Canis lupus familiaris: one gene and its partners. The protein of the gene in region 1 interacts with the protein of each later gene in a pairwise test. Links are inferred from orthologs where the notes say so. Each region holds a gene or a part of one and is shown in the gene's direction. Other genes may lie near its edges.

The links.
Region 2: the proteins of PRKCI (region 1) and PARD6B interact in binary tests that used the Homo sapiens proteins (3 or more experiments, as listed by UniProt). The link is inferred for Canis lupus familiaris from reciprocal best matches to the Homo sapiens genes PRKCI and PARD6B.
Region 3: the proteins of PRKCI (region 1) and PARD6G interact in binary tests that used the Homo sapiens proteins (3 or more experiments, as listed by UniProt). The link is inferred for Canis lupus familiaris from reciprocal best matches to the Homo sapiens genes PRKCI and PARD6G.

The regions. Positions count from the first base shown.
Region 1 is NC_049255.1:35,023,613-35,027,916, forward strand, and holds the start of PRKCI (protein kinase C iota type), read left to right. Parts: upstream 1-1,395; coding exon 1,396-1,496; intron 1,497-1,654; exon of another isoform or gene 1,655-1,940; intron 1,941-4,304.
Region 2 is NC_049245.1:37,740,346-37,743,939, forward strand, and holds part of PARD6B (partitioning defective 6 homolog beta), read left to right. Parts: intron 1-3,366; coding exon 3,367-3,594. UniProt on the Homo sapiens protein: Adapter protein involved in asymmetrical cell division and cell polarization processes. Probably involved in formation of epithelial tight junctions.
Region 3 is NC_049222.1:475,491-479,138, forward strand, and holds part of PARD6G (partitioning defective 6 homolog gamma), read left to right. Parts: intron 1-3,304; coding exon 3,305-3,527; intron 3,528-3,648. UniProt on the Homo sapiens protein: Adapter protein involved in asymmetrical cell division and cell polarization processes. May play a role in the formation of epithelial tight junctions. The PARD6-PARD3 complex links GTP-bound Rho small GTPases to atypical protein kinase C proteins.

The DNA.
Region 1 (4,304 bases):
TATTAGGAGTCTATAATCCACGTTTGTAGCAGTTAAAGGACATCACCGCAGACGAAGTGTCAGACATAACTCTGATGAGTCAATCCTCCAGCCCTATTTTATCACAGTAAAGCAGGTTATAGTCTTGATTATTTCAACCTTTTTTAGCATGTGCTGGTGCCAGGACCAAAGCCGGAGCTGGATTCATTGCTCCTTGTAGTTGCACTATGTGCCAGAGCCAAGATCAATGGAAGATCAGAGACTAAGCTACAAAGACGGATCCTTTATACTGTCATCTTTGGCTAGCCAGTGATAGAAAAGAATAGAAAAAAAAAAATAGTGCTGATGGATGGCTCGGATAACCACTGTGCACCTGTGCCAGGCGATGGCGATATACCAGGGCCAAGGTGCGGTGGGGGGGGGGGGGGGGGGCTGCAAAGGAGGCAATGCCGGTCTTCCACACCTTCTAGCTGAGTTTCCTCCTTTACTACATTTGTTACATATGTTATTAAAGTCTTTCCATAAAAGAGCGTGTGCCCAGCCGGTTGACCAGCGTCTCGTCCTCCAAAAAAGGCACCGTGCACTGGAGCTGGTGCATGCAGCTGGAAGGGGGACTGCATCGGGGAACCCACTGTAGAGATGGGGACGAAGCCCAACCGCTCGCCGCGACCTCAGGTGCCCACGCTGCAGCCGGGGTTCCAGGCGGGCGAGCCCCTGGCCGAGGCTGCGGGGGGCGCGCACGCGGGGCTCGGACTCGGGCGGCTGCGCGGGGGAGGCCGGGTTCCGACGCCGAGAGCCTCCAGGCCCGGCCTCCCACCGGGACTGCAAATCCCAGAAACCCGGCCCAGCCCCGCTCGGGCCGGCGGCGGGCGGGACCAAGTCAGGCCGCGGGGTGAGATGCCGCAGCCCGGGCCCCCGCCCGTGTCCCCCGTGGGGAGGGCGCCCTTCGCGGACAGCTCTGGCCTTCCCTCAGTCGCGGGGGCCGCGGAGGCCCCTCCCCGGCCCACCGATGTGCCACCCGGCGCCGCCATCCTCCCGCCCCCCTCTCCGCGGCCCCCGTGAGGATGGTTCGGCCCGGCGTCGAGGCTCCTGGAGATGCTCGGATGGTCGCGCCCGCCCTCCCCCGGAATGTGCGCCTTTGGAGCGGGCGAGGTGGGAGGGCCCGGAGGGGAGGCGTGCTGGGCCCGGCGGGAGGAGCCGCGCGGTTCCGGCTGCCCCGGCCAGGCGCCCCTCGGGTCGGGCGGACCGCGCAGGTGGCCGAGCGGGAGGCCGTGCGGGAGGCCGAGCGGGAGGCCGAGCGGGAGGCCGAGCGGGAGACTCTGCAGCGGAGCGCGCCCGCCCCCGCCCCCGCCGCCCCCGGCGCCCGGCGCGCCCCCCGCAGCCTCGGCCTCCGCGCTGGGGCGGGGGAGCAGGGAGATGCCGACCCAGAGGGACAGCAGTGCCATGTCTCACGCGATCGCGGGCGGCGGCAGCGGGGACCATTCCCACCAGGTCCGGGTGAAAGCCTACTACCGCGGGTGAGTGTCCCGGGAGGCGGGGAGGGCAGCGCGGGGCGGGGGGCGCCGAGCGGTCGCGGGGTGGCGCTGGGGCGCCCGGGTGCAGCCGGGTCCGGCCCGGGTCCGGCGAGGGTCCCAGGGCGGAGCCTGGGCATGGAGAGGGTCCACCTGGTGGCTTCGAGACCCGCCGCCTGCCAAGAGGCGCGCGGGGGCTTTGCGCCCTTGAGCCCGAGTGCGTGTGGGGTTCAGGGCTGGTTCCGAGGGGCGCCTGGGCGAGCTAAGGTGGCCGCGGGCTGAAAAGCCAGGACTCCCGTAGTCCGCCGGCTCCGCCAGCAGCCCAAGGCCCGAAGCCTCGGCTGCTCCGGGGCCGCCCCACCTTCGCGGCGCAGAGGAGTCGGCGCGCTGCTCTGAGCCCGCCCGGCTGCCTGCCTGCCTCCCTCGGAGACGCGGAGTTACTGCTCACGGGTAAAGTTGCTGCCTTTTTAGGGCCGTGCATTAGGCACTCAGGTCTCGCCAAGAGCAGGTCGTATAGGTGCGAATTAAAAATTTGTGAACGCTCCTTTGTCAGTGTTGGCTCAGGGACCACTTACTGGACAGGGGGAGACGCTGCAAGGAGAGAGGGGGGCGAACCGAGGCGTGGTTTTAAAATCTGTGCTATGTACTCAGATTCCCCAACTTAGAGCTCCTGTGCTTACCAGGAGGGACCTAGTGCTAATACTGTTGTATCAGATCATACCCTGTAATCAGTGACCTGGAGTATCCCCCTTCCCTTGTTTTCAGTTGCGTTTTGAAATTTGAGATGATTACCTTTAGTAGCATTAGAAAGGTGAAATGGTCGTGTGAAGGCCAAGATTTGAGGCAAAGGGTTAACAGCAAAGCCAATGGCTTTGGCCTGTCTTACTGTTTGTCCAAGCAGAAGTAAATTGCTCAAAAAAAAAAAAAAAAAAAAGAAGAAAGAAAAAAAGAAAAAAAAAAAACCCTCAAGCACTAGGAGGTTGAGACTGCAGTGCATACTTGTACATTCCTGAGAGGATCAGTGAAGATAGCAAACTTTCAAAACACCTCTCTTGTTTTGATTTTAAAGGAAATAGGAGCCGTCAAACGTCTTATTGATTTGATGTAACCACTTAATCACTCGCTGCTGTGTAGCCGCTGACCTCTTGTTTGTTAGCCTATTCAGCATAGTTTACAAGAATTATTTTGGACAGTATCCGCGTTTTTGCTTAAATTGATCAAGGAGGTCTTCATTTTAAAAACAATACTAAGAAGTGTGTGTATGGTTTTTTTTTTTTTTAAGTTTGTAGTGGTCACAAGCGCAGTTTTGACATGAATATGGTCAATGAACTTTGCACTGTGGGGGAAAAAAGCTTTGCTTCCTTTACCTTACCTTTAATTAAGAGATTAATTCAGTTGCCATTTTATAAAATTGACAGTCCATGAGCTGTTAGGCAAAGAGAATGAAATATATAGTATGTGTTTTTTTTTTTAAGTGTTTCATTATTGACAGTTAAAAAAAACGGGATTAAAAATGAATATACTCACATGGTAGGAATGTGCAAATTGTACAGAGGTATAAGGTGAGTGTCTCTCGTGGCACCTGGGTGGCTCAGTGGTTGAGCTTCTGCCTTTTGCTCAGGACGTGACCCTGGGGTCCTGGGATGGAGTCCTGCATTAGACTCCCCGAAGGGAGCCTGCTTCTCCCTCTGCCTGTATCTCAGCCTCTCTCTGTGTCTCTCATGAATTGACAAATAAAATCTTAAAAAAAAAAAAAAAAAAGTGTCTTCCATCTCATCCTCCCCACTTCCAGAGGTAGACTGTTAACAGTTTATTTCTGTTCTTCTGGAGGTTTGCCTTTATTCTTTATTACCTTATTCTCTTTCATGATTCAACTTTAGGTGGTACCTATTGGTTCCTTCCACTGAAAGATGAGAAATTGGGTGAATGCTACCTTTTGCTTGTCCTTCTCCTGGTTGGTGCTTTTCAATTTTTGATTCTTAAGCTATTATTTTCAGTTCTCTGGTCTGCATTTATGACTTTAAACAATGCAAATTCTTGGCTTATTAAATTTAAATAGTTTCCGATGACTTTAAATATGAAGAGGAAGGAATTAGGTTTCTTTCTCCTGTTTTTATTCGTTTGACAAATCTAAAAAGGCCTAGTTAGTAAATTAAAATCATTATAAACTTCTTTAGAAAGAAATAAAAATATATTTAAGGAATGTTAGGTGTCAAATTTTCTTGGCTTATTACTATAATTATTGTTATAAAAGAAAATAGAAGAGGGCATATACTTTTAGTGCCTGACTAAAATTTTTCTAAGACATTCTCAAGTTAACATTTTGTTTTTTAACATCTGTGAATTTTTGCTAAGGAATGAAAGAATCTAGCCCTTGACCTTTATTGCTTTTTATTCGTTGAAAGCTTTCTAATAGTGCCTTCATTTCAAGCCTCATTTAAAGACAACATCAGCACTCTCTAAATTGTTCCAATTTCTGTCCCCTGAAATTAGATGTTAAGATTATATGTTTATTAACAATAGTCTAAACTGGTGGTTTTGATATTACATAGTCAGCTGCTCATTACTACAGATGAAACTAAAATGAGTCACCAATGAGGATAGCTAATAAACAGGTTGGCTAACTAGAACACCTACCTCATTTTTAAATAGAAAAATCCTTTATATCAAGAAATGTAGGGTCAATCTGCATTTGAAAAAAGTTTTTCTTTCAGATCTTATGAAAGGCTGTTATCAGAAAGCCTTCTTACTCCCTTCTAACAGTATTTCTTTCCAGTGAACGTTGAATCTTGGAATAACCAGAATTTTTTAGCA
Region 2 (3,594 bases), on another chromosome or scaffold:
TCCCTGCATGGAGCCTGCTTCTCCCTCTGCCTGTGTCTGCCTCTCTCTCTCTCTGTCTCATGAATAAATAAATAAAATTGTTAAAAAAAAAAAAAAAGAAGAAGAAGAAGAAGCCTTGCCTCACCTGGCAAGCCAGGTTAGGCTCCTACCCCACTGCTCTTGGCTCCTTTTGTAATAACTTGTTTGCAGTTGCTAATTGCCATCTCCTCTTGTCACTGTAAGTAAGCACCATGAAAGCAAGCACCCACCTTAACTCTTTTGTTTGCTGAATCTGCAGCGTAGAACACAAAGCTTGGCCTCATTGCAATGATTCTGAAATGTTTAGTGATTGGTTATTCTTATATTAGGAAGGGGAGGGATTTGCTTAGTTTGAATATTGCTTTAGGTGATGTTTAATCCATTAAAAGTTGCCAGATCTAGTTCATTTAACCATTTTGGATTAGAACAAGGGTTGGCAAACAAGGCTTGCTGGTTGTTTTTGTAAATAAAGTTTTCTTGGAACATAGCCATGCTCATTCCTTTATGTATTGGCTATGGCTGGTCTTGGAGCAGCAACTGTATGACCTGTAGTACCTAAAGTACTTACATACAGCTCTTCAGGGGAGAAGGTTGTCAACCTTGGAATAGAAGAATTACAAAAATTACTTCATTCTTCCCTGTCTTCTCACTGAACTTCAAATGGGTCATAATCTTGAACTTTCTTGATGACCCTACCATGAACTGTTACTGTTTTGTTACTGTACACGGATGATGATGGGGATTATTTGAGGGTTTGGGTTTTGGTTTTTTCTCTCCGCTCCCCCCCCCCCCCATGTTTGCTTTAACACTGTAGGCTTTTATTTTGTGTATCTGTGCCTACCACTACTAGACCCTGACCCCCCTGCTCTGAATCTGTGACTTGGAACTCTGGGAGTTAAGGAATGAGATAACCAGGCTTTTCGGAATTAACTGTTTAAAGAGTAAGAGGTCTAGAGGGAGTACCCACAAGGTCCCTCTATAAGTAAAGCACAGGACTGTGCTTTCTGCATGTAAGGAAGTGAAACATGCAGTTTGGCTACTCAGAGGCATTCCAAGTGGATCCTTGTTGATTGTAGTCAGCCGAGATTGTGGCTGAGGGACAGGCTTGGGATGAGGGAGGGATTGCTGTATAAGCCTGTATCATGTTCTGTTGCATAAGCCTGGGTTTTTACAGCAGGGAGGTTGCTGTGAACCCGGTTTGCAAACTTTCCATCTTATTCTCAGCTTAGTGCTTTGATACACAGACTCAGGTAGAAAGTGAACTCCTGGTTCCCTGTGGACAGTCACCTTTACACTTTAACACTCTGCACCCTGGCTTTCTGCCAAAATATTTCTTTTCCCAGTGGCTGGAAACTGATTAGCTAGATGGGAGAACAAAGGTGCCTTTGTACTGGGGCATATTGCTTTTGAGAATTTAGCAGAGAGCATTCAAACAGTCTGGATGCGATGCCAAATTATGCAGATTTGGGGTGGTTTTCTCTTTTTTTTTCATCGGGTTTCCCATGCAGGCAACTTAATTTTGTTCTCAGTGTGTATGGTCTCGAATTTTCCTTATAAATATTATGTGAGTTTTCTTAATTGTTTTAAAATGAAAACATATACTTTTGAGAAAATACATTAAGTAGAAGACTACCATTGATAGGCTCTTGGTTAAATGTTGCCAAAAAGATTCTCCTGTCAGTGGGTTAATTTCCAAAGCCGAATTATAAATAAATTTGTCTCTGAGAACACAGTGTACATACTTTATAAATGAAGACAGTTATCCCCAGAAGGGAAAAATGCCAAAAATTAAGGTACCCTTAGTCTTGTATGTTTCTCTGCAACATTTTGAAGAATGTTAAAGAAGCACAGAAAAAATACCAAGGTTCTCCATACTCAGTCACACACCTGACACTTAATACTCGTTTGTACATGGGTAAGGTATTGGCCCACCAAGAAAATTAAGATCCAGTCTTTTCTCTGTATTTTGTACTCTTAATCATTATTTTGTACCCTTAATTTCCTGGTTTAGAGAGGAAAGATGATTATAATTGTCAATAGAGTGTGAGAGTCAAGGGAAAGCATGTAAACTGAACCCTGTCCAACCACAGTTCAGTTTGAGAGTACTGTTGTCTGGAGCAGTAGCTGAGACTAGGGTTTTGAATTAGCTCCTTGTGGGAGGGGGCTTTTGTCTCCTTTGTTCTTATGAAATATATTTTTACCCTTGAAGATTCTGACTTTTAAGTTTCTTCTTTGTTATATTTGAAACATAATTTCAAGTTTTATGCCTGATGATTTCATTTCCTTTTCTACCTCTCATTCTCTGATGAGGTGTTTTGTTTGTAGGTCTTTTCCTGCAGCAGTGTGATTTAAGAATGTGTATCTGGGTTTAGATGCCCAGTTTTCCCTTAGTTTACATCAGAGATTATAGACTGCTGGCTGGAAGAATGAATTCAACTCACAGATGTTATTTGACTCAAACTGGGTTTTGTTGTTATTTAATTGGGTGTCAGCATTTAAAAATGAGAAAATTTTCACTTAAAAAACAAGGCTCCGTGGCAAATTGGATTTGGCCACACAGATTGCTATAGACGAAGAAAGACTGCCAGGAGCAAGGGGCCACTGTGCCGTTCCAGGAGGCCAGGGCGCTCCAGTTTGCCAGTCCTCCCACTCTGTGTTGTCTGCGCTGCCGCCACTACTGCCGAGACAGATTCCTTTGCATTTCATTGTTTTTCACACAGTAAAGAAAAAAGTTTTCCAAAGTAAGGAAATGAAAATGAAGAACTCCCCCCAGAAAATTGAGAGGAGAACATTTATTTGCAGAAAACCAAAATTTCCTAAGTTCTAGATATACATTCATCTAATTACATTGCATACTGTTTCATTTAATTACATTATCTGCCCAGCTAGCCTGTGGTGTAGGTTCGTTCTCTTGATTTACCTTGGGAATCATAAGTGTCCCATTTTAGATCATTGAGTAAGAGATAGACAGCCAGCCTGGAGTTTCTTAAAAAACAAATGAAGGGAAAATACATTTTAAGTAACTCATTTGAAATGATGTTTCAGAATGCGTTCGTAAGGCTTATCAGAATTTCATTTTCCCCTCAATTTTATTTAATCATCCTTGAGGTTTATCAAATTCAGCATTTGGGATTTTATGACGTGTGCTTGAGAGGGCCCCCTAGTGGTTGTGTGTTAGTTCAGCAAATCTAACTACTGCACTATATTTTGATGATTAAAAACAAGCTAATATTTAAATTGTTTATGTACCAACACATGTGAGTTATCCCTTCTATATAGATTCAACTGTGGTTAAATGGGTGTTTTTACAGCATTTCTGTAATTTTATTTTATTTTATTTTTAAACAGAAGAAGCAGACTACAGTGCCTTTGGTACAGACACACTAATAAAGAAGAAAAATGTTTTGACCAATGTATTACGTCCTGACAACCACAGAAAAAAGCCACATATAGTCATTAGTATGCCCCAAGACTTCAGACCTGTGTCTTCTATCATAGACGTGGATATTCTCCCAGAAACACATCGTAGGGTTCGTCTTTACAAATACGGCACTGAGAAACCTTTAGGATTCTACA
Region 3 (3,648 bases), on another chromosome or scaffold:
TTTACAGTATGCTAGAAATTGTATCCTTTAAAAAACAAGATTTTATTAATTTATTCATGAGAGACACACAGAGAGAGGCAGAGACATAGGCAGAGAAGCAGGCTCCCTATGGGAAGCCCGATGTGGGACTCGATCCCTGGACCCTGGGATCACAACCTGAGCCGAAGGCAGATGCTCAACCACTGAGCCACCAGGCATCTCTAGAAATTATATCCTATTTACTTTGAAATATTTTTTTACTTTGAAATATTTTATTATATTTTATTATGAAAAATGTAGATGCTAGCTTAAAAATATATTATCCTTTTTATAGTGGTAGTTTTCAAAATTCTTTAGGAGGCATGTGGCATTTGAAGACAACTGCGTTTGTGTAGAGGGATGCCTAGGACAATGCCTGAACCAGCATCAGAGTTGGCTGGAGACCAGCCTGAAAGGTCGGAGACCCCCGCAGGCGTTTGGTCCCCAGGGAAGGTGGCAAGTGATGAGTGCATGTCACTTGCAGGCTGTCCCACGTTTGTCCCTGCAAACCAGCAGGATTCCACAGTGGGGGCTGCTCTGGGGAGACCCAGCCCCTCACTCCAAATCAGTTACCACTTCAAAGCTCAGTTCTCACTGAGGAGAGTTTTGAGAAAAGCTCTTATGGCTGGTGCTCTAGGTCAGCGGGCAAGTGAGAGACCATCCACTTCCTTCTCCTTGCACCCCAACCACAGCCATCACGTTTCCCTCAGAAGGACTAAGATCCAAAGAGTAGAGCAACCAGCAGAACAGACACAGTGTTTCAAATCATGTGTCTGATGAGGGAAACAAGCCCATCACAAAAAGACAAAACTATAGGATTGCAGTTGTTTGAAGGAGTTGGAGGTGTCATGGTCCTAGAGCCATGGCAGGAGACGGGGCTGGGGATGGTGCTGGGGATGGTGCTGGGGACAGGGCTAGGGACAGGGCCCAGCATCCATTTCTGACGGGACAGACTCAGCTTCACAGGAGGAAACGGCACGTGGACGGTGCGCATGTTCGCACAACGCTGTGAATGTGTTGCTGCCACTGAACTGTACACTTAAGAATGGTTAATACAGTAAATGTTATGTTTTGTGTATTTTGCCACAATAAAAAATAGGGAAAATGCTAACATCCCCTTTCCTATCTCTTTTTGCTAACTTTGGGTTCCATTCAGCATAGGAACCGTGTTTGCCGTCCTTCTGAATTAACAAGGTCAGCCTCATCAGCACCACTCAGACTTGCCTCCTGTCAGGAAGAAGTCTGGATTCATTTTCACTTCAGATCAACACATTAGGACATATTTTGAAGAAAACAACTAGAAGCAGTGAGAAGAAATGAGAGGTTCTTAGACCAAAGACAGGGCAGAAGCTGTGCAGAACAGGCTGGCTTGTGCGACATTTACTCACCACTTGCCAGGGATGTGGCCTGAGTCCTGCAGAGATGGGGGCAGCCGGCATCCCTTCATGGGGGCGCACCGGGGGGCTCTCAGCTGGAATCACCTCCCACCAATGACCTGGGAAAAGAGAGACACTTTCTTGTTTCACTGGACACAGTCCAACTTCCAACTCTCTTTATGTATTTAATGAAAAGAACATGGACACGAGTAAAAACTAATTGCTCCAGAAGTTAGTTTGCCTTAGATAGAGATGGCAGAGATGATGGCTTTTGTTGAAATAGATATTCATGATGTGATGACATAACCAAATCTGAACAAAACCACTTTAAATCTTGTAGGTGTGAACTCTTGAATCTTGAAAGGTTTGCTCACCCTGGGCCAGGAGGTGATGGTGCTCGGGATAAACACTGAGAAGATAATGCAGGAGGGATTTTGGGGTTGCTGTGCGGTGTTCACAGGCCCGGGCTCAGAGGGCGCCTCCTGCTGCGGCAGGGATGAGCAGAGCCTTGGTGAGCTCAGGGCCTTCCTCCCCTTACCCAGTGTGTGGGAGGCCCTGGGGCTTCTGCTTACTCATCCAAGGTGGCTTTTCTCAAACCAGTATTTTGGAACGTCTCACTGTTGTGCGCCTTTAAGTATTTTATCCCTGGGGCAATGCAGGATGGCTGAGGACTTGGTTTTCTTCTGCTTTTTGAAAAGGGAAACGGATCGGGAAACTGGTTCTCAGGGATCTGCAGACTTGGAGATTTGGAGATTGCCTTAAAATCAGAGGTTTCATGTGTTTGGTTCTCAGCCCAGCAGCACCAGCTTCTTCTGGGAACTTGTTGAAAATGCAGATTCTCGGGCTGGTCTCCAGGTCAGCCAAGTCCAGACCTCTGGGGCCTTCAGGTAGCTCTTATGCCCACCCAATTGGAAAGCCACACAGACCCATATGGTCTGAGTTGATTTGCCCTTGACTAATTGACATAACATCTAGATGATGTAATGACTCTTTTAGTATAAACATCAGACGTTTCATTTTTGTGTATTTTGGAACCCCTGTAATTAGTTTTCAGATATGTTGAAGAGCGCTGCATTTGTCCTGCCTGAGGAATAAAGGTCTCTCTTGCCAAGTGAGGAACAGCAAAACTCCAGAAAGCCTTAGGCCAGGCAGGCCGTGTGCCAGGGTCCCAGGATACTTTGGCCTGTGGGAGGTGACCCAGGGTCCTGTCCCAGCAGATAACTCTCGGCCCCGAGCCAGGGACTGTCAGGAAAGATGGGCCTGGGCATTCCCCAGAGCAGACAGAGCGAATACCAGCTTTTTAGGGAGAGAGACCTGCTCTGTGTTTTTGGCCAGCACCCAGGTCTCCCGAGATTTCCGAGGCCTCCTTCTTACCACTTTCCTTACTTCCTTCACTTCTGCTTCCACTTCCCATCCTTTGGAAGGACAGCCCTTTGGTCTTTTTGAAATGCAAATCATATCAAATCAGTTCATCTCATCCACCATCCCTGTAATTAATTTCTTTTTTTCAAAAAGATTTTATTTATTTATTCATGATAGAGAGAGAGAGAGAGAGAGAGAGAGAGGCAGAGACACAGGCAGAGGGAGAAGCAGGCTCCATGCTGGGAGCCCGACACGGAACTCGATCCCGGGACTCCAGGATCGCGCCCTGGGCCAAAGGCAGGCACCAAACCGCTGAGCCACTCAGGGATCCCCATTGTAATTAATTTCAACAGGGCTTTTCTTCGACAGCCTGAGCTCTAGCACCCGTCCTGTCCTCAGGATGTGGGTCAGAGGTGACAGAAACAATCTTGCACACTTTTGACTTTGCACAAGCTACCCCCGCTGGTCCCTGGGCCTCACGGAGGATGGCACACACCTGTCATTAAGTGAACAAGCTACTCATTTACACCTTGTCTCTTGTGTTTTAGTTTGGGGCTGAGTTCCGAAGGTTCTCCTTGGACCGGCACAAGCCTGGGAAGTTTGAAGACTTCTACAAGCTGGTCGTGCACACGCACCACATCGCCAACACAGATGTGACCATCGGCTATGCAGATGTGCACGGGGACCTGCTGCCCATCAACAACGATGACAACTTTTGCAAGGCGGTCTCAAGCGCAAACCCTCTGCTCCGGGTCTTCATCCAGAAGCGAGGTACCGGGGCATGGGGAGCTGCTTGTCAGTGCCATCACACACAGGCCACATCCAGGGACGTCGGGCAGCACAGCACCTTATGGTTCTTTTTTGTAGCCTGTGCTGGTAGATTATAGAAAGT